Linked DNA regions of Solanum lycopersicum. The main gene of each other region encodes a partner of the protein of the gene in region 2 in a complex. Links are inferred from orthologs where the notes say so. Each region holds a gene or a part of one and is shown on either strand. Other genes may lie near its edges.

Evidence for each region. Proteins that work in one complex are often made in the same cells at the same time.
Region 1: ORR (region 2) and photosynthetic NDH subunit of subcomplex B 5, chloroplastic share a complex: the UniProt entries of both Arabidopsis thaliana proteins name them as parts of the chloroplast NDH complex. The link is inferred for Solanum lycopersicum from reciprocal best matches to the Arabidopsis thaliana genes NdhM and PnsB5.

Annotation. Positions count from the first base shown.
Region 1 is NC_090808.1:66,330,477-66,334,239, reverse strand, and holds photosynthetic NDH subunit of subcomplex B 5, chloroplastic, read right to left. Parts: upstream 2,321-3,763; 5' UTR 2,228-2,320; coding exon 1,994-2,227; intron 1,656-1,993; coding exon 1,592-1,655; intron 1,312-1,591; coding exon 1,249-1,311; intron 753-1,248; coding exon 694-752; intron 588-693; coding exon 357-587; 3' UTR 116-356; downstream 1-115. UniProt on the Arabidopsis thaliana protein: NDH shuttles electrons from NAD(P)H:plastoquinone, via FMN and iron-sulfur (Fe-S) centers, to quinones in the photosynthetic chain and possibly in a chloroplast respiratory chain.
Region 2 is NC_090803.1:56,432,279-56,435,015, reverse strand, and holds ORR (NAD(P)H-quinone oxidoreductase subunit M, chloroplastic), read left to right. Parts: upstream 1-1,103; 5' UTR 1,104-1,213; coding exon 1,214-1,666; intron 1,667-1,777; coding exon 1,778-1,960; 3' UTR 1,961-2,120; downstream 2,121-2,737. Other genes in the region: uncharacterized protein At1g21580, read left to right, coding at 1-430. UniProt on the Arabidopsis thaliana protein: NDH shuttles electrons from NAD(P)H:plastoquinone, via FMN and iron-sulfur (Fe-S) centers, to quinones in the photosynthetic chain and possibly in a chloroplast respiratory chain.

The DNA.
Region 1 (3,763 bases), on a different chromosome or scaffold from region 2:
ATGTAACTTTAAACATCCTATGTACTTTGATTTATACAACTCTCATCGCAGTAGCGCAATCAGAATTTTTATTAAGGAAATTCAAAATATAAAGAATTGATAAAGGGATTTGACATATACTAATAAGAAATATATAACTTTGACCTTATATATACAGTGTAATTCTTCAGCTAGGGAGTTCATTAGAGTTTTTTTTTCATCTCAATGTAGTTAAGAAACATATAGTACAACCATGGAACAACACCAGATCATATGCATCTTCGAGTAATCGATGAAATCCAATGATCATTACGCGATTCATTTAGATACCTTAATGATATATTCAGAACATATGAATTCGTTGTTCTTTTTTATTTCTATCGTTTCATGATATCGTCCTTCTTAACAGTAAAATCCCATAAATCACCATATTTTTCGTTGAATTCCCAAATGTCCATTGTGTTATAATCCGATATTAACTTATCTCGCGCACCTCTCTCCATGTTATATATTTGAGGCTCGAAATTGTGTGCTTCACTTGGTTTGTCCATCTCAATGATACAGAACACAATTGTAAACACAGCTGCTCCAATGTACAAATACTCCCCCTGCATTGTCAAAGAAGTGAAAATACAAGACTTTTAGTTGCTGGAAACGGGTGTTTTCGAGCCTCGAAAAATGTGTAATATAGTAGAGATTTAGTCATTAACTTACAGGAACATTGAAGTACATTCCTGCAACTATTGCTGGAGGAAACAGCCATGAAATGATACCTATTGTCGAACACCAGAAAAATAAGTTATTTTAAGTAAATAACTAAAGAAGCACTCAAGGGTGTGCCCTAGTGGTCAATGAACTGGTTAAGAGTCACGAGGTCTCATCACGTTCAATTCTCAGCGAGAGAAGAAAAATTCTAGGTGATCCTTTCATTTGTCTTATCCACTGTGGATGAATAGAGTTTTTTTTTTCCACCCGATGTCCGGAGCTTACATTGGAATTACGACTAAATTCGAATCGCACATTGCAGGTCCTATATTTGAGGGTGACGCTCCCAACATGATTTTCTCAATAGATCATATCCAATACTCAAACCCGAGACCTGTGGTTAAGAGTGAAACACTCCCACCAGTGAACCACAATCGGTGTTGGTAGATGGATAGAGTTAGCTGATACTTGTTGCTGATGGAAAGTATTTCGTGAAATTAGTCAAAGTGCGAAAAGTAAATGACTAAGTTAATGATCATATTATTATGGTAATTTGTTACATACCTTGAAATCCTGTTGGGGGTGCAATAGCAGCATAATCTTCTGCTATGGATCCCCAAAATGATACTGAAAATGCAAGTGATATAGAATTAAGTATAGTTTAAGTATAAATACATTTACCTATTTTTGTAAAAATAGCTACTCAAATATTGTGTTTTTCGAAGAATTTGAACACGTGGAGTTCACCAATTTCACGTTGGACAAATATGAAACGATTTATTAAACGAAAAGTCGAACGAAGACTAACTTGATCGAATTCATATAATAATACATTGGACAAATTTAGATATTTTTCAATTCAAATTACAAATTAAATCGAAAAAAACACACACATATTGTTATGTACCTTTTTTATCTTCACTTTCAAAGTACGTATGATGATCATCGTATTTTCCAAAAACATAATCTTCCTGCAACAAATTAAAATAAAATAAAATTAGTTAACATGCGTCTGCCTTAAAATAAATCCGTCAAAATTTCAATAAAAAAAAAATTATTACATAAATATATAAATATGCCCTTCAATTTTGTTTCAGTTACATCTATATCCTCTTATTTTCGATGTACACAAATAGAGACTTATATAAAATTGAAAAAATAGATACATTTGTCAGTTAAAAAAAGCCAAGTTAAAAGGACATTTTGTATTATATCAAAATTATTCGATATCTATGTTGATGAAAGATATTAAACTTACTCAAACACTACAATTATTTAAAAACAACGAAGAAAAGAAAAGAAACATTACAATGTCAATGCCATTAGTTCTCCATCGATCAACAGGATCTTCGTTGATATCTGGTTCTATCTCTGTTAGTCCTGCATACAATCTTGTTGATGATCTAAATCCACCACATTTTGTACCAATTTTCGAGGAAATCGAACATGGATTTCCTCGAAAAAGAACACTCCATTTTGTTGAGAATACTGAATTGGGAACTGGAATTGTGGAGAGTAGTGAAAGTGTTAAAGAATTCTCCATTGTTGTTGAGTAGTGTTGCTCTGTTCTTGCTTGTTTACTCTATGTTTTCTAACTTTATTATCCATATATTTTGAATGGTTAAGGCTATACGTGGATAAGGCTATTATATATTATGGTTTTATATTTTTTTTTTAATATCTATTTAGTCTCTTATTGTGTTACCACAATTTCCGACCCCTTTTAACTTGATTTCATCTGACATCTATGTCTTTCAACTTTGATTGTAGATAAATCAACACTTAAATTTATATAACATTGAACAAACATAAACAGACGTACTACGTGATATAATGCACGTAGGACATTATATAGGATGCAAATTGTCACGTACGATGTCACATAGGATGTGTCTACTTGTTTAATTATATACATATTTATATGTCTGCTTGTAATTGTACATATCCAGAATTGGAGAACGTAAATGTCTATTTAAATGAGATTATTCAAAATGCTTTAAACAAAATAAATTAGCCTCTCTTAGCCATAAACCAGATTTTTTTTTTGCTTACCATTATAAAAATTATTTTAAAACTATTTTAAAAAAATATTTTCACCAATATTTCAAAATTTTAAATTTTTTTCCAACTTATGACAAAAATAAGGGAGAAAAAAGGAGGAAAATATCGACGACATTCATACAGAAATAATTATTTCAATAGGAAACTATTTAATTATAAGTAAGTTTAGGTTTAGCAAACATAAAAAATCATATTTGTATACTATAACTATAGTTTGTATAATTGCGGCCCATACCAAATTTTATACTTGCTATGGTACATTAAATCATTGGCAGCCTCTCGTTTGTATAAATCGTTGACAACCTCTAAATTCAATTTTATGTGTTTGTATATCTGCATAAAATTTGAATTTGTATACAATGTATCGAAATAAAACATTTGTATATCAAATCGCTCTCTCTCTCGAGTTATATAACACAAAGTATACATTGTAATTTGTGTTTATATAAAGCGAGAAAGAGAGAATGACAAAAGAGAACTTGTAGAGGAAATCTGTATTTGTATAATTATAAGTGTATATGACGAAATTATATGTATGTGTACATATAATTTTCTCCCGCTTTATACAAATACAAACACAATTTATTCATTTGCCTTTTGTATAAAGTGAGTGAGACGAGGGAGAGTGACGAGCAAGACCTGGGAGAGTGGCAAGCGAAATTCGTCGGGGAGAGAGGTGAATGACAATTGTTTGCTACGAGTTACAATTAAATCAAAGTATGATTATAACATTAATTTGAATTAATAATTTGATATTTTATATAATTTTTCCTTTAATTATTAAGCAACTGTACGTATACTGTATCTTTCTTTTATGTATATCCAAAATTCAATACAAAAGAACGACAATAATATTTTCATCTATCTAATCCATCTACCATGATATTAATACAAATTAAACGAATATGACCATGTAAATTCATTTCAAGTTTGAATCAAAGATCATAGATATAATAAGACTGTGTAGCTATAGTTTCAATAATTGCGCTTCATAATTATAATTTCATTTGCTATGGAG
Region 2 (2,737 bases):
TGGCAACTGTCCCAAAGGTTCAAACTGCAAGCTTCACCATCCGAAGAACAGAAGGAAGGGAGCGAAAAGGAAAGCTTTGAGCGAGTTAAAGAATGGTCGAGGTCGTTACTTTGGCTCTCCGCACATTCATATTTCTGAGTGCATAACAGCTGGATCAGAGAAGCCTTCTGTCAAGGGGAATAATGACATATTCCTTGAAGGGAAGTTTGTCGATTTTATTAGCCTAGATGGTAGTGACGAAGAGGAACAGACTATTGATCAGAGAAGCGAGGAAAAGCCACTTTGCGAGAGTGGTCCAGCAGAGATGCAACTGGATGATCTCGATGAGCTTATTAAGCCCGTGCGTCTGATAAATAGGAATAGGTCTGTAGGTTCATCTCCCTATATAGATAGCCCAAGTGATATGACCACAAGCTATGTATCAGAGTAGCCTCACCATTGTAAATGAGGTTGTGTAATTAGGTTTATGTAGTGTTCTGCTAGTGCAGAGCAATTTTTTTTCTTTTTATTGTTAGGCTTTTAGTTAATTACTTAGGTATAGGTCTTAGGATTAGGCATATTTTTTGTTTCGCAAAATCTGTTGTGTGAGATAGAACAAGAAAACTGTTGTTATAGTGAGAGAATTAAAGGAAATGAAAATCTTATCCCCTATGTACAAGTCTTTATTGGAAGCTGTTTGACTTTTGTTCTTTAACAATTTTCAAGTCAATCTGAACTCTCTTATTGAGTCTTTATCACAGGTGATAATGAACCTGTAGATTCAATCAGCTGGTGTTATGTTTATTTTACTTTTGACAGGTAAGCATTCTTTTTTTGTAGTGATGAATACACGGATAAAAAAGATTGTTTTTAATAGATCCACCACCATACGAACTTCTGAACTTAAATTTTTTGGTTTTGTCTATATAAGTGAAACGCCCTGCATACTTATCTTTCATGGCTCGGATTCACTAATTAACCAAACCTTTAAACCTGGTTTAACAGGGATAAAAACGAAAGTAATTTAAGTACCTCAAAGTGAGTAATTTGTAATTAACCTTTTATTAAGCACAGCCACAGAACAAAAAAAATATAAGATAATAAAAAGAAGCCATATGTAAGCAAACATTTCCTATCCACACAAAAAGGAGGATATATTAATATCCCAATACCAACATTCAAGAAAAGGCCATAAAAATCACACATAACAAAACACTAGGAGAAAGGGGGAAACATGGCAGCAACTTCAACATACATGGCTTCAACCCATTTCAGCATGTTAAGTTGGAGCACAAAGGGAAAGAATAAACAACTCAAAAGGAGAAACTTCTTCTCAGTTTCAGCACAGCAAGCAGAAGTTGAAGAGTTAAAACTAAAAAAAGAGGAAGAAAAGAAAGAAGAAGAAAAACAAGAAGAGGGGGCAATGAAGAAGCCAAGGCCAGTAGAACCACAAATAAATGTGCAGAGCAAGAACATGACCAGAGAACATGGAGGACAATGGCTCAGTAGTGCTACTAGACATGTTCGAATATATGCAGCTTATATTGATCCCGAAACCTTTGCTTTCGATCAAACACAAATGGATAAACTCACACTCCTTCTTGACCCTACTGATGAATTTGTGTGGACTGATGATACTTGTACCAAAGTCTATTCTTACTTCCAAGAACTTGTTGATCATTATGAGGTAATGAAAACTTCTCTTCATCAATACAAGCTTAATCATGCAATCACTCTTGTACCAAATGGATTAGAAATAGAAATGCTAACTCCAATAACTTTTTATGATCTGGACCAGGGAGCTCCATTGACGGAGTACACGCTTCGCCTGATAGGTTCAGACATAGAGCACTACATAAGAAAACTTCTCTATAATGGAGAAATCCAATACAACATGAATGCAAGAGTTCTTAACTTCAGTATGGGGAAACCAAGAGTTGGGTTCAATTACAATGGACAAATGGAAGATGTAAACCAGTAAATTCAGGTAACAATGTTGACTATATTGAAACAATGAGTAGCAAAAAATGCAGTTGTAACAATGTATAAGAAACTTTCACCTTCTCTGTCTGTTTTGAGAACTTTTCCCAAATGGATTATACACAATACAAATGTTATCTACCTAATCATTGGTGGCAAAAGGGTATTTTATACTGTGGTTTTCATATTCCTAATCATCTAAGCATTGTATCAATACCCCCAATCAAAATTGCAATAGCTTCAAATTTGTTTGAGATTTCCTATATCTACACCACTCCATATATTTAAGCTTACCTCATCTATATTCAACCTACTTTATTATAAAATTATTCGTTTTTTTCCACAAAAATTTTAAAATAATATGTAAAACTTACTAGACTTTAAAACTAACACACTATATTATCTTACATACAAGATTATGTAAGAACAACTATTGATAATGTAAAAAAAAATGAAAATTATTACATCTTATAATTTAATCTTAATAACATAAGTATAAATTAATGATTGTAAAAATATATACTAGAATCTGTAACATAAACAATGGTGGCAGTGAGTCACTAACCGGAGCAATGTACACAAATATTTAATTGTGAAAAAGAAGAAGAAGAGAGACAGAATTTTCGTTCTTTTAAAAGGAGAGAAAATCCCTCTATTTATAGACAAACAAAGAGTAGCGTGAGAAATGTTTATTGTGCCTTATCAGAAAAGTTACAACTATTTAGAAAAGTTGCAACTCATCGGATAGGTCACGACATTTTATAAAAGTCACAACTTT